Macaca mulatta: one gene and its partners. The protein of the gene in region 7 interacts with the protein of the main gene of each other region in a pairwise test. Links are inferred from orthologs where the notes say so. Each region holds a gene or a part of one and is shown on either strand. Other genes may lie near its edges.

The links.
Region 1: the proteins of EGFR (region 7) and ANXA1 interact in binary tests that used the Homo sapiens proteins (3 or more experiments, as listed by UniProt). The link is inferred for Macaca mulatta from reciprocal best matches to the Homo sapiens genes EGFR and ANXA1.
Region 2: the proteins of EGFR (region 7) and SLA2 interact in a protein complementation assay, tested with the Homo sapiens proteins (3 studies listed by BioGRID and IntAct, with this or other methods). The link is inferred for Macaca mulatta from reciprocal best matches to the Homo sapiens genes EGFR and SLA2.
Region 3: the proteins of EGFR (region 7) and ARRB1 interact in a protein complementation assay, tested with the Homo sapiens proteins (3 studies listed by BioGRID and IntAct, with this or other methods). The link is inferred for Macaca mulatta from reciprocal best matches to the Homo sapiens genes EGFR and ARRB1.
Region 4: the proteins of EGFR (region 7) and CDH5 interact in a two-hybrid assay, tested with the Homo sapiens proteins (2 studies listed by BioGRID, with this or other methods). The link is inferred for Macaca mulatta from reciprocal best matches to the Homo sapiens genes EGFR and CDH5.
Region 5: the proteins of EGFR (region 7) and WASL interact in a protein complementation assay, tested with the Homo sapiens proteins (3 studies listed by BioGRID and IntAct, with this or other methods). The link is inferred for Macaca mulatta from reciprocal best matches to the Homo sapiens genes EGFR and WASL.
Region 6: the proteins of EGFR (region 7) and SNX9 interact in a protein complementation assay, tested with the Homo sapiens proteins (3 studies listed by BioGRID and IntAct, with this or other methods). The link is inferred for Macaca mulatta from reciprocal best matches to the Homo sapiens genes EGFR and SNX9.

The regions. Positions count from the first base shown.
Region 1 is NC_133420.1:104,165,722-104,169,822, reverse strand, and holds the start of ANXA1 (annexin A1), read right to left. Parts: upstream 2,801-4,101; 5' UTR 2,741-2,800; intron 1-2,740. UniProt on the Homo sapiens protein: Plays important roles in the innate immune response as effector of glucocorticoid-mediated responses and regulator of the inflammatory process. Has anti-inflammatory activity.
Region 2 is NC_133415.1:89,470,549-89,473,888, forward strand, and holds the end of SLA2 (src-like-adapter 2), read right to left. Parts: exon of another isoform or gene 3,281-3,340; intron 3,185-3,280; exon of another isoform or gene 2,676-3,184; coding exon 2,526-2,675; exon of another isoform or gene 1,747-2,525; coding exon 1,614-1,746; exon of another isoform or gene 1,598-1,613; intron 1,299-1,597; coding exon 1,178-1,298; 3' UTR 501-1,177; downstream 1-500. UniProt on the Homo sapiens protein: Adapter protein, which negatively regulates T-cell receptor (TCR) signaling. Inhibits T-cell antigen-receptor induced activation of nuclear factor of activated T-cells.
Region 3 is NC_133419.1:75,743,723-75,747,694, forward strand, and holds the start of ARRB1 (beta-arrestin-1), read right to left. Parts: upstream 2,801-3,972; 5' UTR 2,563-2,800; coding exon of another isoform or gene 2,543-2,562; exon of another isoform or gene 2,512-2,542; intron 1-2,511. UniProt on the Homo sapiens protein: Functions in regulating agonist-mediated G-protein coupled receptor (GPCR) signaling by mediating both receptor desensitization and resensitization processes.
Region 4 is NC_133425.1:61,923,656-61,927,155, reverse strand, and holds part of CDH5 (cadherin-5), read right to left. Parts: intron 2,798-3,500; coding exon 2,673-2,797; intron 2,333-2,672; coding exon 2,227-2,332; intron 46-2,226; coding exon 1-45. UniProt on the Homo sapiens protein: Cadherins are calcium-dependent cell adhesion proteins. They preferentially interact with themselves in a homophilic manner in connecting cells; cadherins may thus contribute to the sorting of heterogeneous cell types.
Region 5 is NC_133408.1:163,488,482-163,491,981, forward strand, and holds part of WASL (actin nucleation-promoting factor WASL), read right to left. Parts: intron 3,222-3,500; coding exon 3,113-3,221; intron 1-3,112. UniProt on the Homo sapiens protein: Regulates actin polymerization by stimulating the actin-nucleating activity of the Arp2/3 complex. Involved in various processes, such as mitosis and cytokinesis, via its role in the regulation of actin polymerization.
Region 6 is NC_133409.1:76,689,599-76,693,602, reverse strand, and holds the start of SNX9 (sorting nexin-9), read right to left. Parts: upstream 2,801-4,004; 5' UTR 2,589-2,800; coding exon 2,577-2,588; intron 1-2,576. UniProt on the Homo sapiens protein: Involved in endocytosis and intracellular vesicle trafficking, both during interphase and at the end of mitosis. Required for efficient progress through mitosis and cytokinesis. Required for normal formation of the cleavage furrow at the end of mitosis.
Region 7 is NC_133408.1:73,282,415-73,285,914, reverse strand, and holds part of EGFR (epidermal growth factor receptor), read left to right. Parts: intron 1-701; coding exon 702-869; intron 870-1,237; coding exon 1,238-1,285; intron 1,286-2,022; coding exon 2,023-2,131; intron 2,132-3,500. UniProt on the Homo sapiens protein: Receptor tyrosine kinase binding ligands of the EGF family and activating several signaling cascades to convert extracellular cues into appropriate cellular responses.

The DNA of each region.
Region 1 (4,101 bases), on a different chromosome or scaffold from region 7:
AAGGAAGGAAGGAAGGAAGGAAGGAAGGAAGGAAGGAAGGAAGGAAGGAAGGAAGGAAGGAAGGAAGGAAGGAAGGAAAGAAAGAAAGAAAGAAAGAAAGAAAGAAAGAAAGAGGGAAGGGAAGGGAAGGGAAGGGAAGGGAAGAAGGAAGGAAGGAAGGAAGGAAGGAAGGAAGGAGAGAGGAGGGGAGGAGGGAAGGAGGGAAGGAAGGAAGGAAGGAGGGAAGGATGTTATTCTTTTAAATTAGTGACCAAAAAGAAAATGACATGATCAGTGTTCTTTTTAATAACTCACACCTGAGAATCAAATTCATTAACAGTCAACTTGTGCAGACCATGGCAAGTTTCACCCAGCCTTAGAGAGTTTATTTTTAAATGCATGCCTTGTGCATAGTTTTTCCTCGAATATATATTTCACAAGTCCTTCCCACACCTTTCCTGATGAGAGAAGGCAATTAAGACTACACAATGGCATGATTTACAAAAAGCAATTTATGAAAGGTAGCCTCACTAATGTTTTGCTTCCGAGCTTTTCGATAGGGTGTTCTTCTTGCCTGGAATACTTGTTCCTTCTCCACATTCAGTTCTCTTTGCCTAACTAATAGCTACTCCTAAGTGAGGCGTCAGCATTGACCTCATCATGTTCTTCAGAAACCCTTCATTCGTTCCTCAGTCTTGGATTAGGTGACCTTCCATGCTCTCCCATAGCATCCTGACTTCACCCCTACACCAGCCCCACCATTCTGTATTATCACTTTCCATTGGTTTATTTATATTCCCCAGGAGCAGGCCATGAGGCCCGTGCTAACATAATAATATTCATTATGTATGTACTTCCAATACCTAGCAAAATGCCTGGAATTCTGGATGTTAATAAGTATTATTGAATGAGTATCATGTATCATTGCTAATATTTTTAAAAACATATCTACACTAATTTAACAAACATTTTCTCCCCACAACTATAGGATATAAAATACAAATTGAAGTGTACTAGTTCTTGATTATCTGGCGATCTGACCTCAAGAAAAACATTTAGCTTCTCCAGAGGGTCTTCGTTTATAAAATAAAAATGTTGAAGTAATTAGTATCTAAGATCCATTTACAGCTCTGAAGTGCCAATCTTAAATTTTACTTCAAGTGGATGAAGATGAAGAAAACTAGCATAATGAAGGAGGGTATTGTGTAAATTGGATCTGTTCTGAGCTTCCTGATGAAATTCTCTCCAACTTTAAAGGAAAAGGAAATAGTTGACTTCAAAAAACTGTTTATAGTTTATCATTGAAAATATTCCACTGGTTTAGCTCTTATTTTAAATGTCATAAATTAATAGGCCTAGAGAGAGCTAATGTCATCTTCAGAAATCAACCTTTGCAGACATTTTGGTTGAAAAAGTATTTAATAAGCCTGAAACTCTGGTTGGTTCCTTAATAATATTATTCTTAAGTATTTTGTCAACATCTGTTAAATGCTGACTATGTGCCAGATGTGGTTGAGCCTGGAGCTAGGGTGGTAATGTCACTTTTGGGGAAGAGGCCATTTCAGAATTATGAAACCAACATTTTACCACATTTGAGTCATTTGCAAAGTGCACTCTCTCACAGCTACCAAAATACTCCTGTGGAAAGGGGGTAACATTGCTTTTTCAAAGTTTATACAATCTTTTAGACATAATCGAGGCAGGAAAAATCTCATCCTTGTTAATTAACTAGCAGTGAACATAAGAAATCAGAACATTTAATAAACATTTAAAATGAAAAAACAGAAAAATCTTTGAAGGAATATGTTTAAGAAAAAATACCCAGATATATGGTCATGATTTGTAATCTCACTTTTACAAATATATCCAACACCAGTAAATACTCTTCTTTAGTTTTGCTTTGCGCTTTTCTAAGGAGTTTTATGGCCATTAGCTCATGCAACACTCAAGTGGAATAGCTGTTAGAGGGCCTTACTAACATTCCCTTAGGCTAATGTATCTGACACTACCCAGTAAGTATTTCCCTTCTTAGGTTTTCCAGCCAGCATTTGAAAAGCCTGTATATGACACAGAGCCTCCAAGAAAAGGAATGTGACCACACCCTCTTTAAATGAAACAAGTAATAAGCGGACCTTCTTATTTTAAATAGCACGAGCAAACATAACATATATTTTTAATTTAAATAGCACGAGCAAACATAACATATATTTAAAAATGTTTATTACAAAGGGCATGATTATCACTTTGAGGTCTGATCTATCTTGTTTTCCTTACAAAAGAGGAAAATAAATTATGAAAGTCCTACTATTTTGAAACAGTTCCCTGCAGCTCACTCTTATCACTTTTGTTCTTGCCCCCAAAAAGCAGCCCCCATCATGATTTCTCCGTAAAACACACACAGCTCTTGGGAAGAAATATTTCAAGGGGAAGAAAAGGAAAAACACATTCTTTAAAGGCTACCAAAGGAAAAGCACATTCTTTCCTTCTTTCTCATGGTAGCTTACCAAGAGTACAATGAGCCAGTATTAAGCAAACTTATCATATTTTTACTTGTATTTGTTAACTAAGAAGAAGAAAAACATTGTAATTTGTGATTCCTAAAATATAAATATCCAATGTAATTCTACAGAAAGATTTGTGAATGACTTATCATGTTAAATGCAACTAACCATAAATCCTGTAGAAGCAGTAACATTTAACATAGTGATGAGAAAAGTTTTCAAAACAACCAAAACTAACTAAAAGGAAAACCAAGACTTACCTTTATCTCTACCTTCTTGCAAAGAACTAAGGGGAAATTCTTCTCTGAAGATTTCACACTAGCGGTGGAGACTTGGGCTCCTGATTTTATAGGATTTGAAAGGAAGCCACACCTAGCAACCAGAAGTTAGTAATTGGCTGCCTTCTGTTTGAAGTACGTGGCTCAGCTATGTCCAAAAACAAAGTGAAACAAGTCTTGCAAAACTACTCACTAAACCAACTCGACTGGCATTACAAAGGAAAATAAATGGAAGGACTGATTTTTTCCCCCCTCTGTATTTTGCACTTTTATTTCCAGATGGTATATTTATTTTGCACTTTTATTTTCAGAGTATACATCTGCCCCAATCCTAATACCACTGATTGGCACACTTTTGTAGTTAAATAGGTTGTAGACTAAAAAAAGTATGTTACCTTCAAAACTAAACAAACAAAATTTTACATTTGAATTCCACCTCCACTTATTATTCTGTGACTTTAGGGACATATTTAATTTTCCTGAACCTGTTTTTACTTTTGTTTTGTTGTCTTTTTTCCCTCCCGTTTAGTGGAGAATGGGTTCTTGTTATATTGCCCAGGCAGGTCTCAAACTCCTGGGCTCAAGCTATCCTCCTGCCTCTGCCTCCCTAAGAGTTGGAATTACAGGTGTGAGCCACCATGCCTAGCTGTTTTTACTTTTGTATATAGGGGCATTATCTAAGTTGTCTATCCACTAGAATTCTTGTGACAATGGAGAAATAACATAATATTTGTAAATTTTAACATTACACAGTGCCGAATGACTTTCTATTTATATTTTTTTTGCCTTCAAAAACAAAAGACTTTTGTTCCTAGATATAGCTTGTTGTTATAAGAAATATAGAAGTAATAAAGTTCCAGATTGGCTAAAAATTTTGAACAAAGGTAATGCCAAAAATTTGATCATTATGACATTCAATGAAAGCATTGACATTAAAAATCCTATCTACATTAATTCTTTTAAATAGAGTCAGTTACATAGAACTGTATATATAAATTGTAATATAGATCAGTTATGCATAAATTTTGATACGCATAGATCTTTGACATGGAAACTAGTTGAACAACAAAACAAGGAACTAGACCTATGAAATGAAAAGATTATTGGATCAGCAACTATTACAGAACACATTCCATAAGAAATTTCCCACCTGATGGAAGGAAAATTGGTTCTGGTAACTTCCATAGTGGCTCATTTTCATTCTTCGTGAAACCCAACAAAATAATATATGATGTTTCCATTAAAGTGCACAAGTGTAAACTCTCACAGCATTATGGCTCAATTTATGCTACATTTGGTGGTTTGTTCTTTTCCTCTTTTTCTCATAGATATCTCAGGTAAAA
Region 2 (3,340 bases), on a different chromosome or scaffold from region 7:
AGACCTCTTTCTCTTTATGAGGGCAGCAGGGAAATTAAGCGCTGGATTTGGTGTAGGCTGTGGCCTCAGTCTTGGCATTGTGGAGAGAGGGCTTAGCACCTTCTGATGCCCCTGCCCAGCACTGAGGTGCCTGGCCTCACTGCAGTGTGCTAGACTTAAGAGGTGTTATTTTGTATTTGGCCACAAGATGGCAAGGCCAGTGTGCTAGGGAATGGTAAGCCACAAAATGAAATAGAGATCTGAAAGCTAGGCTGGGTGCGGTCGCTTACACCTGTAATCCCAGCACTTTGAGAGGCCGAGGCGGGTGGATCACCTGAGGTCAGGAGTTCGAAACCAGCCTGGACAACATGGTGAAACCCCATCTCTATTAAAAATACAAAAAAATTAGCCAGGCATGGTGGTATGCACCTGTAATCCCAGCTATTCTGGAGGCTGAGGCAGGAGAATTGTTTGAATCCAGGAGACGGAGGTTGCAGTGAGCTGAGATCGCGCCATTGCACTCCAGCCTGGGCAACAGAGCAAGACTCCGTTTCAGAAAAAAAGAGCTGGGGCTGTTGTCCTCAATGGGGGACATTTGAGGACTTAGACTGTCAGAAGTCTTTCTCATTGCTCTGGAGATCATGTAGAGGCTGGAGCACCTATGATCTGCTGCTATGGTAAGACATCATCTCCTCAGTTTTCCTTTCCCTTCTAGGCCACAGTCCTATCTTCTGAGGTACGGTGGTGGTCTCAACGAGACTTGTCAATTTCCCGAAAATGATTTTCTCACAGAAGCTAGGGGTTGTTTCTACCTTGTGGGCGGGGCCTGGTTAACGGGGGATGTAGAACGGGGCTCAGCAGGCAGGGCATCCAGATGGTACTGGAAACAAACTCAAGAACTGACTAGGTCAGACCCGCAGGAGGCTTACTTTCTTTTTGGAACCCTGGCCCTGGTCCCAACTTCTCTGCATTTGGACTAGAGGTCGCAGGTGGGGTCATGGCACTGGGAGGAGGTAGGTGACGACTTAGGGCCAAGAGAGGAAAGAGCAAGGGTACAGGTGGGACCTTGGATGCACCTCTGTGTCCCAGCCCTCCCTCACTGAGTGCACAGCCTTGCCTCTGGGGTGCTCAGGTGGCTGGGCTGAATTGGGGTTCTAGGTGTGCAATCTTGGTTTCCCTTTTGGCCTCTCTTTTGGGCCTAGGCATCATCCAAAGAGACAGCCTCCTCATTCAGGCTGATGTAGGAGCTGAGGGACTCCCGGAGACCCTCACTGAGAAGAGACTCCTCCCCTGTGGGAACTTCAGAAAACAGGAGGGAGCTGTGGACAAAGGAAGAGAATTGGGTCAAGGAGCCTATTCCTCCTCCCTGCACTCACTACACACAAAAATGCACTGTTCTCAAAACCCCTCACTCCTGATGAGGACCTCATGGGGCTCCCCTGTTCCCTATCAGATCAGCTTCCCAGCCCCACCTGCCGAGCCTGGGCTGTGCTCCAGGAGTTGAGTCAGTGTGCCCTGGCTCCAGCTGCCAGGTGTCCCTGAGTGTGACAGGTACATTCGGGTTGTGGTTCCCAGGGGTGGGTCCTTCTAACTCTTGGTCTTGCTTTCATGTTTCCAGGAGTCCCCGACTTTACCTGTCCAGCTCTTTCCAGTTGAGTGGTGTCCTCTGTACAGTCACAGGTAGGGGTATATCCTTGCTAGGGAGCGGGCCAGCCCTCTGCAGGACACAGGGCTCCTTGAGGAGGCAGCAGATGTCATCCGCCAGCTCTGAGGAAGAGACCTCCATCCCTGACATGGCCGACTCCACCCTACTTCTCTCCAACAGCCCTCATCCTGACAGCCCCCCACACTTGGCAGGAGGGGGCATGGTTACAAAAGAGTGACAGGACATGAGCCCCAAGCTGTTGGTTTCATGGAGACAGATGCAGTCAAAGGTCTTTCTGGGCTAACTTTTGGGAGACAATCACTGTATGATTTAGGGTGAGTTCATGGACCTCTTGAGCTCAAGTTTCTGGTTAGGAAATTGCTTTGGGAAGAAGAAAGCTAAGGACTGCTCAGTCTACTACTACTGTCTACTCCTGCATGGAGTGACCTGCAGAAAACCCCTGAGTTTTCTGAGAGTGCTCTTCCCTCTCTGCGCCCTGACGCTGTGCCCAGTGACTGCATCTTCCAGTGTCTGTTGAAGGACCGGCATCAGGAAGTACTAAGGAGAGTCAGGATTGAATCCCACACAGCAGCAGCTCTGGGTCCGGTTCCTGTGGAGAGAACTCCGCCTGCTGCCAGGGGCTTTGAATCAGAACCAGGGTGGTAGGCAAGGTACTGACCGGAGCCTACACAGGAGGTATGTGGCTTTTCTGCTAGGGCACGAGGTGAAGACAAGGCTTCCAGCCTGCATTTCTTGGCATGGGGACTGGTGTGAAAATAGGGGAGGCCTCTCTTCTGTCTGTCTGAATACTCCATAGCAGGTAAAATATCCGAAGACACCACTGCCTGCTCCTCCCTGCAGACTATCCCAGCCTACTCCTGGGGGCAGGGAAAGGCCATACCAGAGTAATGGTCCACCAGGGCCTGGAGTGAGGGGAAGGTGAGGCGCGGTGAGATGTACAGCCAGCCATTGTCAAGGCGCTGGATCCTGTAGTGTCTGATTCGGTCCCAGGATGCAGGGCGGCTGAGACGGACTGACAGGGAGTAAGAGCCTGAGGAGAAAAGGGTCCAGGGGTGGCGCTGAGGCCCTGCTGGGACTCAGCCCCACCCAGGTTGGGAAACGAAGATAGGCAACATGGCCATGGGGCCCCGGCAGAAGGGAAGTGTCTTGGGCAGAAGCAAGACAAAGACTTGCTCTCTCGGTCATCAATAACATGTTCATAATAGATGGGGGTCTTGTGAGGGTGAAATCAAATCACACACAGAGCCCTCAGTACAGGGTCTGGCACCGTGTGAATGAACATTCAGCGTTGGCTGTTCTTACAAAGACTCAGGTGGCAGATGTGTTAGGATGCAAAAACACTGTCAAGAAGATGCTGGCAAGGAAGTGGAGAAGTAGGACCTCCCACCCTGCTGGTGGAAGAGAAATTAGTACAAGCCACCTTGGAAATAGTTTGGCATTAACTAGATGAGCTGAACATGCACGTACCTTACAACCCAGCAGTTCTACCCAGGCACATTACCTCAGAAGCACACAGGCAAGAATATGCACAGCAGCATTGTAAAGTGCTGGGATTACAGGCTTGAGCCACCGCGCCCGGCTGTTTGTAAAAGTCAAAAACGGGCCAGGTGTGGTGGCTCACGCCTGTAATCCCAGCACTTAGGGAGGCCGAGGCGGGTGGATCACAAGGTCAGGAGATTGAGACCATCCTGGCTA
Region 3 (3,972 bases), on a different chromosome or scaffold from region 7:
CCTCTAAGTCATAGATAAAGTAGAATCTCATGGCTTACGGAAAAAGACAAGGTACAGCCCATTACCGATTTTGCCCTTCTTTTCCAAATTACTTAGCAAACTGTCTGGAAAGGGACAGAAAGCCCTCATGGGGCTGCAGGAGAGTCTGAGGGGGAGGTCAGGGCCACTATCAGGTGGATTTAGCTGGGCCTTGGCTCCAGGCTTCAGGCAGTGCCTCTTCCCCTGCCCAGTGAAGTCAGTAAGTACAAGAGAAGCCTTAAAATGTTAAGTATTGATAGCTCCAGTTTACAGATGGGAAACTAAGGTCCGGAAAAGTAAAGGCAATTGCCCAGTGTCCCAACGGTCCAGCAGTGAGTTCAAGGCAGGGCAGGGGGAGTCATGGAAAATATCTTGGCCTCAGAGACAGGGTCTCCAACAGGTGCCTGGAAGCCCATGGTGTCCACATCTTCCTGACAATCATGTCAGCAGGACAGCAATGACACTTATCCCCCAAGTCACAGAGAGGTACAGAGAGACCCAAGAGAGGCTGAGTTACCCCAATCACAAGGCAGCCTAGGAAGGACAGGAGGAGTGGAGAATGGCTCCAACTCCCTGCTATACCCTGCAGGAAGAAAAGCCTGACCTCATGGGTCAAGATGGATGTGGCTGGGGAGGGAGTCACATACCTTCCTACTGAGGACAGAGGCCTAGGTCACAGTGCTGGCCAGCCAGCTGCAATGGGGACTAGCCATCAAGATGCATGCAGACACAGCATGATCTTCTGCTGTCTCCCCCAAAGCCTGGGCCTCCAGCACAGAGCAGGGCACCCCTCCCTGGCCCATGTGGGGCCTGGTAGTGCCCTAGGGCCATCCACAGAGACATGACCAAGTGGACTCCAGCCTCTGCCCTGCCTCTGGCCTCTTTTGACCTTAGGCAAATCACATGACCTCTCCAGCTCTCTGGTTCCTCTGCTAGAAAACAGGAAGAGGAAAATTAACCTCCTGGAAGAGCTGTCAGGAGGATGGCTGGAAAGTAATTTCTAAACATTAAGAGCCTAAGTTGCCTCTGAGCCTCAGTTTCCTCCTCTAGAAAATAGAAATAATCTCTGGAAGCCCTTTCTCACACTGTTGAGAGAGAGTCTCAGATGGCAGTACGTGAGAAATGGCTTTGTCAGTGGCCCTGAAAGGTGGTGCCCACTGGGGTGTGTCTCTCTAGTCTGTTAGCTCCTTCAGAGGAGTGGGCCTTGCGCATCTTTGATTACCCACACTATGCCTAGTATACAGCAAGAGCTTAATAATAAATGGAACCGAGGAGAGGAGAGGGGAGGAAAGGGAGGAGGCAGAAGTCAGGCACAAGAATAGGAGAGGAGAAAGACAGAAAACAATGAGAAAGAGGGGGAGCCCAGGAAGAGGCTGCTGTGCCCACTTGGGTGGGGAGGGCAACGGGGAAAATAGGGTGGCAATGCTGAGCCCTTGACCAGGGCTGGTCCTGTCTGAAGGGCTGGTCCTGTCTGAAGGGCTGCCCCCAGGGGCTGTCCTGCTCCAGCCCCCTCCTCCTTCTGTCCCACTTTCCCCTTTCAGAGGCATAGACCGTTTCTTTCTGAGTATTTCAGGCCAGGTTCTAGAACGGGAGGGGTTCTCCCAGCCCTAGGTTCAAAACAGCCCCTGGCCAGCCACTCCTCAGGAGGTCAGAGGGAAAGGGAACAGAGTAGATGGATGCGATCTATTCGGATGGGATGGGATCTGTTTTCCCCAGGCTGGGGGCAGTGGGGAGCGTTCTACCCCGTGTGATGTGTGTTTCCACTTCTGGCCATGTGGGGCCTGGAACGTGTGTGTCAGCGGGCCTCCGGCTAGCAGCTCGTGCCTGCGGGGTGCCAGTCTTTGCAAGCATTAGTCTGATTGTGTCTGTGGGGGTCAGTGTTGGTGTGGCCTTGCGCTCCACTGTGTTGGTGAGACATGCCAGCACAAGTGTGTGTGCTAGTGAGGGTGATGTGTGTACCAGCAAGAGTGTTTGCTACAGCGAGTGCAGGTGACAGTTTGCGTATCAGTGTATGCCCACACGTGTGTGCTAGCACGAGGGTGTGTTAGAATTGGTGTGTGTTGGAGTGTGAGCTGTTCATGCCAACAAGGCTGTAAGCAAGAATGTGTTGACCGAGGCGTGTATGACGGCGTGCCACTGTGTGTGATGAGCGTGTGCCAGTGGCTGCCAGTGTGTGCGCCAGCATGCCTGTGCCACGGGTTAGTGTGCCCGTGCGTGTATTGTGTGTCAACCTGCCCCCGCGCGTTTCTGCGGCTGCCGGCCAATGCTGGGTATCAGCAAGCTGTGAGTGTGTCCGGGCCAGGAGCCGCGGCCCACATGGGGCGGCCCGGCCCTCGCCCTTTGGGTCCCCCTCGCCCACGGCCCTGCCGGGGAGACCACGCAGGAGACCTCGGGTGGAGGAGGGCTGGTACTAGATCCCGGGATGGCCGCGAACACAGAACCAGGACGCAATCGGAGCCCCCGCCCGTGCCCTCGCCGAGGTCGCCCCCACACGCCCCACGCCGGGCGACCGCCCTGCACTCACCGGGTCCCTTTGTCGCCCATGGTCCGCGACGGCCGCAGGGAGGTCCGCGGCGTCAGCACCCAGGCTGGAAAATCCCCGGCCAGCAGGAGGAGCGCGGGCCAGCCCGCTCCCGGCTCCCTGCTCCGCCTTCTCCGCTCTCCCGGCCGCCGCCGCCCCCGCCCCCGCCCCCGCCCCCGCCCCCGCCCCCGGTCCCCGCCCGCCTCCCGCCGCGCCGAGCAGCGCAGCGCCCGGGCCGCGGTCAGGGGCGTGGAACCGCGCGGGGTGTGTGTGTGTGTGCGCGCGCTCGTGCGTCTGCGTGTGCGCGCGCCGCCCAGCGAGCCGGGGCAGCGCTGCAGGACGCGTCAAGGCCCCAAGGTCGGCGTTTGTGGTGGGGGAGGGGTCCACCCGCGTGCGAGTCCGTATGAGTGAGTGTGTGTGTGTTTGTATGGTGGTGGTGGTGTGGTGTACGTGAGGGCGCACGGCTGTGTGCGGGCCCTATTGGGAGTGTATTGGTGTGGATGGAGGAGTGTGCACGTCTTTGTGCAGTTGTGCGTGTGTGCGCACGGCCGTGGGTGCGAGCGCGCTCTCCCGCGCATGCCGGGGCAGCCTTTGTGTGTGCGTGTGGTTGGAAGCCGAGGGTCTGGCGACCCCGAGGCCGCGCTCTCTGCGGCCGCTCGCCTAGCTGGAGACCCCGGGATGCCTGGCAAGGCCTTCGCCCTGTGCTCCACCCTTCCCCATTCCACCCCACCCCACCCCCTTCTACTGGAGAGATAACACCCAGTCACCCAACAGAGACAGGAAGAAGGGGTGGAGGGGGCAGTAGACGGCCTTGACACTGGGGAACTGAGCGGAGACCCGCGACCAGCAAGGGCTGCAGGAAGCCGCCCAGGAAAGGGAAGCTGCGAGAAGTGAGAAGAGGCGATAAAGGAAGAGGGCAGAGCTGGCCCGCTGATGTGACCGGGTAGCACCGTGGAAAGTGCCCATGCCTAGCTCCATGGCCACCTGTAAAGTGAGGATACACTAATATCAGCCTGCAGAATTAATAGGTTGAAAGAACTTGCTTGTTTGCTGGCCTCCCCAAGTGCCTGCATACAGTAGGTGCCCAGTAGATGTTAGCCCACTTCTCTGCAGGCTTCTTGATGTCCTGTGAAATCTTGGCTGGGACGCTGCTTTGTCTGAGGTGCCTTCCTGCTTTGCAGGTAGTGGGAAATTGTAAGGTCTTTCCCACACCCTCACTGCTGAGATTTGGCTAACTATCCCTGAAAGGTCTAAGTATTAAGGGAGGAAGCTATCATTTACTCTGATGCTGTTGTGAGTGTGTAAACATCTCCTGTAATCATGCTCAGAAGCAGTTACCTATACTGTTTATATGCAGTATCATTACTATAATTATGTCCAGATTTGGCAGAGGGGCAGGGGAAGGCTGATGGGTAGGCAGGGTGGCCCACCTC
Region 4 (3,500 bases), on a different chromosome or scaffold from region 7:
CCCGGTCAAACTGCCCGTACTTGACTGTGATGTTGGCCGTGTTATCTGGAAACACCAAGGCCTCGGAGTCGGGCTTTGCCATCTGCACAGATGGGGAAACTTGGCTCCTCCAGGAAGCCTTCCCTGACTGCACCAGCCCGCGTGCTGCCTGGGCTGCTTTTCTGCCCTTTGCACCCAGCACCTCTTGTTTCAGCCATCTGAGTGCAGGCCTGTTCCTCCATAGAGGGGATATTTTGGGGCTGCTGCTTTGACCCAATCTCCGAGAATGCCTTGGTGAAAGAAGGTAAAATCCTTTGCTTTCTGTATTTGTGAGCAACTGATGCCTGTCCCCTTCCTCTTCTCTAACCCCACTCCAGTATCAGCAGGTTTTCTCTTTCAGCTCTATTAATGAGTGCACTGTTTCAAGCTTTGACAAGCAATGGGGAAAAATAAAGTTTTAAAAAGTCTTTTAGCATTAGGTTAACTTCTAAGGCAGCTTCAGCTATCTCTGAAAATCCATTGTTACATTGTTGAAAACAATGGGCATGTCCCTCGGGGCACAGAGAAAATGATTACATATAGAATTGTGGGTTTCCTCGGCAGTTTGGAACTGGGAAATGCTTTTGTCCAAATATTGGCCCCGCCCACCTTCCCAGATCCAATCAGTGATTTCCTGTACCCAAGAATCCCCCAGGGAGCTTTTAAAACACGCTGATTTTTCAGACCCCTATGATCACACACACATCTTATTCAGTGGTTCTGGGCAGAGGCCAGATAATCTGCCTTTTGCAGGGTCTCAGGAGGTTGTAATGTCAATGATCAGAGAAGGATCCAGGGACTCTCTGCTCCAGGATTTACATAGCTACACAGGCTCCACACACTGGATTGAAAAGCCCAGGAATCCATCTTTTAGATTTTGAATGAAAGCCAACTATATTTCATTATTCATAATTACATTTCAGCATTAAGTCTATTATATTTCAAATAAACTATATGTCATTGATGCTTATGGGAGAAACTAGAGATTTTGACATGCAGGTTGTTCATGATATAAGTGAATTTGACACCAGCAGGCTTGCCTCCTATTGTATATGGGTGTCTTTGGGGTGGCACTGAATCTTTCTACTGTATTGCAGATCCCTACTCTGAGATGGGACTGAGGTGGACATTGGGGAGGGAGTGACATTTTTGCCACATTATTTAATTCTAATGACAACTGGGTGTTGAATGGTCTGTCATTGACTTGTCAACACATCAGGGCCACCTTCTCCATCCCACAGGAGTCTCCTTAAGGACTGGTCTGTGGCTGATCCCTCAAGTCTGCCTCCAACTCTCAGGGACCCCACTCCCCAATCTTCCTCAAAGGTAGCAATGGGCTGCTGCAATACAGCCATCCTCATCCACCATAGTTTTGCCCATTAGGGACAGGCAATAATTCCATCCCATGCTGGGTGAAGGATCACTCTGCTTGAACCCAAGGGGAATTTTCTCTATTTTTCTGAGGAAATTTCAGAGGCCGTGGAAGCTTGCCTACTTGTGGCTGGAATGAAGTCAACTCAGCATCATCATTCAAGTCGGCACCTGCTCCTCAGAAGCTCCGATTGGCTGCTAATGACATCACACGGCCACCCTGCTAATCGTGAGTAGTCATTGTAGCTGAATTAAAACAAAGCTCACTGTATCCTTGGGATTTAGGACTTCATATTTCCAGTTTTGACTCTTTGGGAGTGACCTCAAAGTTCCATGTTTAATTTGCAGTTTTGCTGACACAGAGAGCCTCCAGTGTGGGAGAGGACTCCTTGGCTAGTTCTTCAACAGAGCTGACTGCCTGCATCCCCACATCTGTTCTGTACTCCTTGCTGGCTCCTTGCAGGCGATGTGGACTTGGGAGTTTGGATGGAGTGTCTCTGATCATTGCACAGACCAATTGTACAATGTACGTGGCAGGAATTGTACAAAATATCTAATGATTTGAAAATCCCAGTGGGAGCCTGCCCTCAATTTGCTGGCCTGGTCTTTGACCTTGGTGCCTCAAGACTCAACCTCACCCCGACCCTGTTAGTGCCAACTGACTGCATTTGTTCTTTTTTGGAGACGAGGTCTCGCTCCATTGCCCAGGCTGGAGTGCAGTGATATAATCATAGCTCACTGCAGCCTCAAACTCCTGAGCTCAAGTGGTCTTCCTGCCTCAGCCTTCTGAGTAGCTGGCACTACACGCATGTCTGAACTGATTACTTTGATGCCTACCGTGATTATCCGTGAGGGTAAAGTTGTTCTCAGTATTCAGGGTGAATTTGAACTTTACATTTCGTGGTGTTATGTCCTTGTCTATTGCGGAGATCTGCAGGACCAGCTGGGGTGTGGAAGACAGGAGATAGTCAGTGATGGTGGTGGGGTGGTCTGAGGTTTAGCGATGGAGCCCTTGGGTTTAGACCTGACCATGGCTGTTTCCCACCTGCAACACTCACCTATTTAGTTCTTCATAAAGCCACTCTTTCTACTCCCCTGCCCTGCCAATATACTCCCCATACATTCTCTCTGAGCCTCAGTTTCTCTACCTGTACAATGGGCATAATGTTATTTTCCTCAAGGCTATTGTACAGGGGAACTCTTGCTGACTCTGTTGAGCAGTTCTGCCCCTCAGCCTGCCCCAGGGTGGTGCTGCCTTCCCCTCCCACCTGAACCAGACTCACCTGGCCATGGGCAGCATTCTCACACACTTTGGGCTGGTAGGGCTGGGCAAACTCCGGGGCATTGTCATTCTCATCCAAAACTTCAATGTGGACTTGCACAATGGATTCTTTTCCTGTGGGGGTTCCTGCAGGGGAGAAGACTGTCACCATTATGGGCTCAGCTGATGCTGGCCCTGGGGGTGGAAGATGTGTGGAAGGAGGGCTGCCCTATGGAGGCCACTTTTTGTAGGAGGAGAATGTGGAACAGAGGCCCGGGATGGTGTTCCGGAAGAAAGGAGTTTGGTGGAGGGGGAGGTGTTAAATCTTCATCCATAAGGTTTACTGAGGTATTACTTTGATTATGAGAATCAAAAAGGTAAACCACCTAAGTGCATTAAAAATATTGTAATTAAATTTCTAAAATTAAAAATTTAATTATTTGATTAAATATCTAAAACATAATAAATTAATCATAAAAGAATTGAAAAGGTAAACAACCTAAGGAAGATTGGTCAGTAAATTAGGCCACTGGAAAAGAATGAAATATATGGCCACTGACAATGCCTATGTAAATTACATCTTAAAAATATAATTAAAAACATTTTAAGGCCAGGTGCTGTGACTCATCCCTGTAATTTCACACTTTGAGAGGCCCAGAAGGGAGGATTGCTTGAGGCCCAGAGTTGGAGACAAGCCTGGGAAACATGGTGAGACCCCATCTCTACAAAAAACTAAGACATTTCCTGGGTGAGGTGGTGCATGCCTGTAGTCCCAGCTACTCAGGAGGCTGAGTGGGAAGGATCATTTGAACTCAGGAATTAGAGACTGCAGTGAGCTGTGATTGTGCCA
Region 5 (3,500 bases), about 90 Mb from region 7:
TACATTTATATATCTATACATACAGGACCCATGAAGGCCAAGTATATAAAGTGAGACAGTAGCTGAGTAATGTACTTGGTAATGATAAAGAGCCAGTAAGACTGTGTGACATATGTGTGGGTTACATGTACAGAACACAGAACCATCTTTTTCTTCTATTTTTCTCCATATAAAATTGATTGTGTGAAGGTAGTATTTGAAGTAGTACTGGAGTTGTAGTATTAGAACTTGAATAACAGAAGCCTGAGAGAGGCAACGTTATTTTCTCTTAGCCCTAAACTAAGTTGTTACTTTTACAACAATAATAATTATTTATTTATTTAAGTCTGATGGTCAGCTCTAAATTGTTACAGAATTTATTTGGAAAGGAGTTCAACTGACTTCATGTTAATTTTTGTGTTTACTTTCTAGCAAGGGAAATAATTTGCTACTAGCTTATGCTAGACATGCTTCACAAAATTTATCTGGATGAAAAGCATCAAAGACACCCAACTATGCTGGCATTACAGAGTGACAAAAGACAGAAACTTATCAGTATCTATGGTGAAGAGGAAGATGTAGCCAATAATTCCATCATAAGGTACTACCACAGAAATACTAATGGTTAAAAGAAATGGGTCTGAAAATAAGTAAAAACCATCCTATATTTTCATTATATTAGCATGACTATTATATATTATTAAAAAAAAAAAACAAAACGTATTGTAGGGAAATAATTAGCAGAACTCACAGATACCAGCATAGAATAAATGCATTTTCAGAATCATGTATCTCACAGAAGCCTTACATTTCTTATGAATGAATGAAGACCTTTCTTTATCTCTTCCTAGCAAACAACCTCGAAACAAAAGCTTGAGATTTTTAATCTCATTCCTGTGACATTCTATGACATAAAAAATTCAGGCAGTTTACCTCATCTGTGAGGATTAGGGCTAAGAATTTAGGCAATTTTCACTGTTTTTAGAGTTTGCTAAAGAAGACTATACCATAGATATAACCTTAACTTTAAATACCATGTGTCTACGTATATCCTACTGACGTGTAATTTAACAATTCAGACCTCTCCTGTGACTTCCAGACTCATAACCAAATGCCTACTCCAGATCTATAGTTGAATTAACAGGTATCTCAAATTTAATATGTAAAACCAAACTCCTAATCTTCCCTTTCAAACTTTTTCTTCCTAAGTCTTTCCCCTTTCCAGTTGTTCAAGTCAAAAACCTTGGAGTTATCTTGCACTCTTATTTTTCTTCAACTTTCATTTTCAAACCATCAGCAAACCCAGTGATCTCCACATTCAAAATATAACTAATATTTAACCACTTCTCATTGGTGCTATAAACCTGGTTCAAGTCTCCATGATCTCTTGCTTGGATCATTACTATACCTCTGCTAAAAACCCTCCAATGGCTTCCCATCACATTCAGAATAAAAGCTAGTGTACTTCAAGGGGTCTCCAATGACTTCTTGTATTTCATTCCTTACTATTCTTTCCCTCCCTCTCTTGCAAGCTCCCTGATCTCCTCATTGTTTCTCAACCTAACAGACTTTATATTTTCTGTTCTTTCCATCGGATACACTTTCCCTAGTTTTCTACATGGTTCACTTCCTGAACTGCTGGTCTTTTCTTAAATGTCACCTCAGTTAGGCTTTATCGTCCCTTATCATTCTTTATCATTTCAAAATGAACCTCTCTCTCTCTCTCAACAGCCTGCTCCCTATTTCTCTTTTCTGTTAGACTTTTGTCCTTAGTTCATGTCACCATTTAACATACTATACATTTTTCTAGTTTGTTTACTGCTTGTCTCTCTCTCTCTCATTAGACCTAATGCATGTCGATGAAGGAAGGGACTTCTGTTGTTTTGTCAAAATTTTATTACTATTCCACAATAAATATTTATCTCTATCTCTGTAATGGAACAAATATGCCTATTTAAGGAAAATAAACATTGCTCAAGGATCTTAAGACATGCACATCCTTACAGAGAAACAAAAGGAAGATAACATTTATTGAGCACCTACCATGTGCTAGGCAATCTGCTGATTAGTGATATACTGTTTAATTCTCACATCTATATGCTTTGTGAATTCTCTGAATGTAACAAACAAGAAACTGAGGCTCAGAGATTAAATAAATCTAAGAAGAAGAAAGGTCTGTTTCTAGCACATTATGTTAGAGAAGCTATTTAGCAAACCTTAACCACTCCAATCAGCAAAACTCATATTCTTGTCCTTTCTTTAAAGCAATATTCATTTATATGGTGGTATGTATATGTTTAACAATAACCTCAGAATAGGTACTGGTTTATTCAAATCAACCTTTTAGAAAATGATAAAGGTTTAAAAAAGGTCAGTATTCTTTAGCAAACTCTAGAAACAGTAAAAATTACTTAAAATTCTTAGTCCTAATCCTCACAGATGAGGTAAATAGCCTGATTTATTATTATTTTTATTAATATTTAATTAATTTTTTTTTTTTGAGACGAAGTTTTGCTCTTGTTGCCCAGGCTGGAGTGCAATGGTGCGATCCTGGCTCATCGTGACCTCCACCTCCTGGGTTCAAGTGATTCTCCTGCCTCAGACTCCCGAGTAGCTGGAATTACAGGCATGTGCCACCACGCCGGCTAATTTTTTTGTATTTTTAGTAGAGACGGAATTTCTCCATGTTGGCTGGGCTGGTCTTGAACTCCCAACCTCAGGTGATCCACCCGTCTCGGCCTCCCAAACTGCTGGGATTACAGGCATGAGTCACTGCACCCAGCCCTGAATCTTTTATGTCACAGTAATAAGATCCAAAAAGCTCAAGCTTTGTTTAGAGGTTGTTTGCTAGGAAGTCTATCAGCATTTCCTGATATAGGAAACAAAACGGTCAATATTCCCAAAGCTGTTCTTTCAATTTATGGCTATGGCTGTGGTGGTGTTGCATTGGTAAGTCTCAGACTAGTCACAGAGGCAACAACTTTTTAAAATACACCCTAGAGCCCATATCAGTAGTTACTCAATTAGCAGAGAGAAAGCTAGCAAAGACAGTCATAAAATAAAAATAACAGAATGTCATTCAAATTTATTAAACACACACACACTCTGTCTCACTCTCTCTCTCTCTCTCTACCTGAAGAATGAATGGCTTTGCTCCTTTTCTGCATCACTTCCATTAATGCACCCACAATTCCTGAAGTGGGTGCAGGTGTTGGTGGTGTAGACTCTGGGCCATCAGACACCTTGGAAAAGAAAGTTAGCAAAACTCAGTAATAAATCTTTAGCAAAGAATCTTTGTCTCCAGAAAGTCCTACTTTCTTAGAATGACTTATTATCGTAAAAGACAAAAAAGATATTAAACTGGCAAGTCCAGGACAAGATTAATTAAATTAACAAGAAACAAACTGCTGCCTTAAAGATATTATTCAAAAATATTTCCTTTCCATCTTAATGTATAAGCCAACAATACATTTCTAAATCTATGTTTATATTCAGATAACAAACCCTCTCCTGAATAGTAC
Region 6 (4,004 bases), on a different chromosome or scaffold from region 7:
GGGAAATGAACATCCCCTAAAATATCCAGATCCTGAATTTACTTTTCATCACTTAATACTTACAGCAACAGCCTGAGTGCCACTGGAGCCATTTATTAAAAATTAGTCATTACTACTAAGCACATTCTCCCCACCCCTTGAAGAAGACGAAGAAAAAAAACAGAACTACTCAGGTGTGGGGAAGGGGTGTGTATATGGGGCAAGTGAGGAAAGTAGCAACTTGTCTCTCTGGGGACAATTAAAAAATGAGACTTTGGTTTGACCCAAGTATCACCAGGATGTCAGAAAACTAAGGAAGGGTCTTCTTCTAACAACTGCTTCATTGCTCTTCTTTTTCTTAAAATGGAAATGGTCTGTCACAATGTAGACATGGAAATGAGCACCATGTGGAACAGTGATTAGACAGCGAAAGAAACTAACAGAATTACTGGAATTTGCCTTCGGAGTGGTGTAGATAACGAAGTAGGAAGTGCTTATGCATGTTTTAAGGCTCGTGTTTAAGCAAAGACACATGCAATTCAAGATTAATATACAAGAACCACTTTTCAATTTTTTGAAAAAAAAAATTAAGTTCAGGCTTAACTATGAAATAAAAATTTCACTACGTATACCTGCACTAGTTGCTAAACTGCATTCCACTTAAAGGACAGTACAGGTAACATGCCTCAGTAGACCAGAGTGTAAAAACACACAGACCACCACTGGACAGATCTCTATGTCATACACCGCCTTGGTTTTTTTTTTTTTTTTCAAACGGAGTCTCCTCGCTCTGTAGCCCAGGCCGGAGTGCAGCGACGCCATCTTGGCTCACTGCAACCTCCGCCTCCCGGGTTCAAGCGATTCTCCTGCCTCGGCCTCCCGGAGCAGCTGGGGCTACAGGCGCGCGCCACCACGCCCAGCTAATTTTTGTATTTTTAGTAGAGACGGAGTTTCACCATATTGGCCAGGCTGTATGGAGCTCCGACCTCAGGTGAACCGCCCACCGCGGCCTCCCAAAGTGCTGGAATTACAGGTGGGAGTGAGCCGCCGCGCCCAGCCTATAAACCGCTGTTAAGGTTGCAAGATGAGCGTGTACTAGGATGTGTAACTGGTAATTTCTGGAGTGTCTGGCAACAAACCTCAAAATCAAATTTCCTTAGAAATCCTTGGCCTAAGTTTTATTTTTAAAAAGGTCAACACAAAATTAATAAGTTCAAAAGGTGGCAAGTTCTATCACATTAATAAAACCAAAGCACAGCACAGGCAATAATATATTAACAAGAAGGTAATTATTTCAGTAACAGCAGCAACAGGTTCCCTGGAGGAGAATCCCCACTTCTCTATAAACGCTGCACCTAGATGGATTCAGAGCACAAAATTTACCACAGGACATCTAGCAGACCGAAGTCAAGCAACGCTGATCTTTTAAACAGATTTCACATTTCTTACCATTTCCTACCTTAACACTCCACCAAAAAAAGCAAATAGCTATCGAAATATAAAAAATAACGTTTCTAGCAACCCAAAAGTAGTCAGAGATCTCAAAAAAAAAAAAAAAAAATAGGGAAAGGGGTGCTGATGCTAATAAAGTGACACTACAAAAACTAAGTGCAAAAGTAAACCTACTCCTCACAGCGTATCACAGAACAGTTAATGGTTCAGGTACAGAGCCTCCTCCCCCAGGTCCTCCTTCCGCGACCATGACTCCCCAGTGACTATTTTACACCAAGTAACTACTGAAAACGCCCAAGGAAAAGGAGTGGGGGAGGGTGGCTTTTGAAGATTCAGGTAGCAAAGAGTGACTGCTAATTTCATAAACAATAATGCAAAACAAGCAAACCACCGCTCCTAGCCAATTACCAAGCAGGAGTCAAAGTTCCACCACGTAATTCGGGCCTGGGCCTTTTTTAGGCAAACACGTAATCGAAAGCACAGTCATTTCCCTCTTGATATTTTATTCATGCCGGCAATACCATTCACACTGAGCAGGTAGCAAAACAAAAGAAAAAAATAACAGCAGAGAAGGCAGAGGGGCGCGGGGTGTCCCAGCCTCTGTCTCTCCCCGGCCGCGAGCTCCCGCAGGCCGGGACGGGAAGCGCAGCGTCCTCTCTGCTGAGGTCTCGACCCCCACCCGCCCCACGGGGCCGAGGGTCCCCTGGGCGGCAGCGGGAGGGGACGTGGGGGCGGCGGGGACGCCAGACGCCGCGGGGACACCGGACGCCACAGAGAGCCTGTCGCCTCGGGGGCCTCCCCGGGCTGCGGGAAGTTTCCGTCCCGCTCTCGCGGCCCCTCCCGGCGAGCCCGCCGCAGCCCAAGCTCAGGTGCAAACTTCCCAAACGTCGCTGCACCCGGGGTCCCAACCCGCGCCCAGACCCGACGCCCTCCCCCGGCGCGATCCCGGCCGTCTGCACGGTCCGCCGCACCCATGCCCAGAAGGGACTGGCTGGGCCGCGGACCCGCCCGGGGACCCCACCGAGGACGCAGAGTGGCCCCTCGGCCGCCCCCGGCCCCAACCCTCCCCGCGGCCCCAGCCCCGACCGTCCCCGCGCCGCCGCGGGCCTGAGCGACCGGCCGGGCCTGCGCTGCGCGCCCCTCACCTTGGTGGCCATGGCGGGCGGGTCCCCCGGCCCGGGACGGCCGGCTTGTCTCCCGCGCCGCGGATGGTGATTCTGAGCCGCGCGGACGAAGGCAAGGGCGAGGGCGGCGGCTCCGGCTGGGCCCCGGCGCGGCGGCCGCTCCTCCGCCTCGGCCCCGAGTCTCGACGCTCAGGCCCAGCCGCTGGGCGCTCGGCTACTCCCGCGCCGCCCGCTCCTGCAGTTCCTGAAAGTCCCCGGCTGCGCGGCCCCCGCCCCTGCCGGCCGAGCCTCCCTTTTACCGCGGCGCGCGCGGCGCCCGGCGGAAGCGCGCCCTGGGCCCTCGGCCGCGGCCCGGCCTCCTCGCCTCCTGGCCGCCCCCGCGCTGCGCCGCGCCGCGCCGCCGCCCCGGGCAGTCGCTGCCGCCGCCGCCGGGCGCCCTGGGTCGAGGACGGGGGCTGCGTCCCGCGCGGCGGCGGGATCCGGACAGGCGCCCCGGGCCATGGCCCGCACCCTGCGTGGCCGCCCCACAGGAAGCGCTCCGCGGCCCGCACAGCCGCTCGGGGGAGCCGAACCCGACTCCGGTTCACGCTCGGCCAGCGCCGCACGCCGTGGCTCGGGGCTTTCCGTGCATGAGGCGGGCGGGGGGGCAGGAACTCTCGACGCTCCCGGCAGACAGGAGCCCCGCAACCCCGCTGTCTTTGCCCCACGCCGAGGGTGTTGCGGGGTCGCCGTGCCCTTGGCCGAGTACTTTGAGTGCCACGTAAACAGCCGGGAAGGAACGGAGCAATGGCTTCCTGGGCCTCTTTCTCCTGCCCGGAGGCTCCCTCAGGCTGGGGTCCTGGCTTGGAGCCCCTGGGACGGGACGGTGGGGGGTTCGTTTTGTGACGTCCCATTAACCTCATTCTGGAATCTTGATAAGTTTAAAAATGCCCGAGGGCCCAAGAGGTTTAGGGGACAACAGGCTCTCTGAAGTGGAAATGAGGGCTCTAAAATTTTCCATCTTTCTGTCAGTGTTTCTCTCCAGAGTTGGAGATATATATATGGGTGTTATGAATAAACGAATGACTTGAATTGAGCAGCAAGATTTTTCGCTCAAGGACAAAACACAACTGGAAGATGTATCATAATTGGCATATTAGTGGAGTGCTTTTTTATTATGAGGGATATATTTGTAAGAAGAGACAACTATCAAATCTTCAATACTCTGGTATTTAGAGTTAATGTCAAGTTTGTGTCTCCTTAAATACATTCTATTTGACCTGAGGTTTCACTAGTTACATTCAATAATGTGGTTTAAAATAGATACGGTATCGCAGAATTTTCTGTGAATTTTTGTGTTTGTTGAGCTCATGGTTAAGCTATAGTCGTCATAATATGCATAAATAGTTGTCTTTCTCCATAAAAAAAGATGGAGGCCAATATTCATTGACAGCCTGCTTGCTATATACT
Region 7 (3,500 bases):
TCTGTCACATGCCAACCTGGCCTCCCTGTGTCCCAGATCGCATTATTAAACCCCCCAGCGCATTAGAGCAAGCCTCAGTTAAGGCGCAGGCCACATCGTGAACTAAGCAGGGTCCGTGAGTGGGGCCCACCCAACTCCATCTCCCCGTCCCCGCCTGAACTCTCCTCCCACACTCATCCTCACTGTCCAGCTAGCCAAAGCTTCAGCTGGGTCTAACAGAGAAGCATGGTGTGTTGGCCTTAGTGTCAGGCAGACCTGGCTTCACACCCCTGACCCTCCACTTCATCCCATCACCCAGGCAGCCGATCCACCTATCTCCTTCCATAACATGGGAATACCAAAACCAGGCTCACAGGATTGGTCTCAAAGATTTAATAAGATATGTTGCAAAATACACTCCCTAGTACCTCACAGCAAGGTGCACACTCGATGAACGCTGCAGCTTCTTCCCTGTTTCCTCAGAAGCTATTTGCATCCCATGTAGGGGCTTTCAAGCATCAAAGGATGGTTCATGTTTTATTTTAAGGCACCCACATGCCATGAGGGAGGCAGCTATAATTCAGAGAACTAAGGGGGATTTCATTATAACAAAATTGGCAAACACACAGGCACCTGCTGGCAATAGAGCCCTGCTCCTATAGCCAAGAAGTGGAATAGCATCTCTGCGGGCCATTCTAATAGCCTCAAAATCTCTGCACCAGGGGGATGAAAGAATGCATTTGCCAAGCCCTACAGACTCCAACTTCTACCGTGCCCTGATGGATGAAGAAGACATGGACGACGTGGTGGATGCCGACGAGTACCTCATCCCACAGCAAGGCTTCTTCAGCAGCCCCTCCACGTCACGGACTCCCCTCCTGAGCTCTCTGGTATGAAACCTCTGTCTCTCTCAAGCTGTCTCTCAAATTGAACAAAATGAATGAATTTTAGGGAAAATAACAGCCATCTAGTGAAACTCACATGGAGATGAAGTCAATTTTAACCAAATGGTAAAATCAAAATAAATTAAATAAGTGTATTACTTTATTGCATTGCAACAACTTGATTGTAAGCCTTTTAGGTCCACTATGGAACAGAATTAAATCAAAACTAAACATAGTTGCTCTAAAACTAATGATTAAGACAAAAATTAAACACCTTCACGATATCCTCCATGAGGCACACCACTTGCATTCAGGAAAAGTGGATGAGATGCGGTACAAGCATTCCATGGGCAACTTCTCTGTTTCTTTTTCAGAGTGCAACTAGCAACAATTCCACTGTGGCTTGCATTGATAGAAATGGGGTATGTATGAACACCTTATAAGCCAGCATTTACAGCTCTGCACTACGACTCTATTATACATGGAAAATGCCTTAACCTAAATAATCTTAACCCAGATAATCTTGAGTTTTCTTCCTGTGTGGGTTTTTCCCCTGCATGGCTGTCACGCCTCACAGTGCCATTCAAAGCGTGGCTCCTGGACCAGTAGCAGCATCACCTGGCAGCTTGTTAGAAATGCCATTTTTCAGGCCACCGCCCCAGATTGACCAAATCAGGACCTCTGGGGGTGGCGCCCAGTAGTCTTTGTTTGAGCCACCTTCCAGGTAATGCTGATGCCTGTTGAAATGTGAGGCTCTGGTCTAGACCACACTGTGCCATGCAGAAACCACTAGCCACATGTGGCTACTTCAACTTAAATGTTAGTAAGTTTAAATGAAATGAAATATAAAATTCAGTTTCTCACACATATGAAGTGTCCAGTAGCCACACGTGCCTAGTGGCAACCGTATTGAAGAGCACCGCTCATAGCATACCTCCCTCACTGCAGAAAGTTCTGCTGGACAGCACCCAGCACAGCCCTGCTGCCCACCCTGCAGCCTGCGGCCCAGTAGCACGGGCACCCGCTAGGGTGCAGACTCTCAGGCCTGCCTGACCTACGAATCAGAACCTGCATCTCAAGGAGATTTCAGGTGATTTTTGCACACACTGAAGTTGGAGCAGCCCTGACTGGAGTAACCTTCCCTCATTTCCTCCTGCAGCTGCAAAGCTGTCCCATCAAGGAAGACAGCTTCTTACAGCGATACAGCTCAGACCCCACAGGCGCCTTGACTGAGGACAGCATAGACGACACCTTCCTCCCAGTGCCTGGTGAGTGGCTTGTCTGGAAACATTCCTGCTCCTCAGCCTCCTTGACCCACTCAGCAGCAGCCAGTCTCCACCACCCAGTGTCCAAGCCAGGTGCTCCCTCCAGCATCTCCAGAGGGGGAAACAGTGGCAGATTTGCAGACACAGTGAAGGGCGTAAGGAGCAGATAAACACATGATGGAGCCTGCACAAGCTCCTTGTTGTGTCTGGGTTGTTTGCTGTACCTCTGTTTTAAGAATGAATCTGCAAAATTTCCAGATTATGAAACAAACGACAGACATACGTGTGTGTGTGAGTATGTGCATGATGTGTGTACATCTGTGTATGTGTATGTGTGTGTGTGACAGATTTGATCCCTGTTCTCTCTGCTGGCTCTATCCTTGACCTGTGAAACATATATTTAACTAATTAAATATTAGTTAATATTAATAAATTTTAAGCTTTATCCAGACACTCACAACCTGCTAACACACACACATATATACACACACATACACATACACACACATATACACACACCACACACATACACAGACCACACACACCATACACAGACACATACACATGCACACACATATACACACACATACACCACACACACACATACATGTATACACACTTACACCACACATATACCACACATACCACAAAAACCCCACACACATACACACACATATACACACAGACACCACACACACGTATACACACACATATATACACACACACACACCACACATACACACCACACACACGTACACACGCCACACACATACACCACAGACATGTACACACACCACATACATGTATGTGTGCACACATACACACCCACACCACACACACACCACACATACATACACACATACCACACACCACAAAAACCCCACACACATACATATACACACCACACACACCACACATACACACACCACACATGTACACTTACCCACACCATAGACACACACGTACACACACCACATACACATATGTACACACACACCCACACCACACACAAACACATACCACACTTACATACCCACAAAGACACATACACACCACACACACCATACATACACATGTACACACACACCACATATACACACACATACACACCACACATGCACATACCACACACATACAAACATACACCACACACACAGCACACATACACACTCATATACACACACCAGACACACATACCACATACACACCACACATACATGTACACATGCATGCACACACACACACACACACACACACACACACTGTCCTCAAAGCAGGCTATCCTCTGAGAACTTTAAATTTACAAAAGACACACGTGTCCATTACTTTGAGAAGTGCAGGAAAGAACCCACTTTCTTTTGCAGCAACAGCA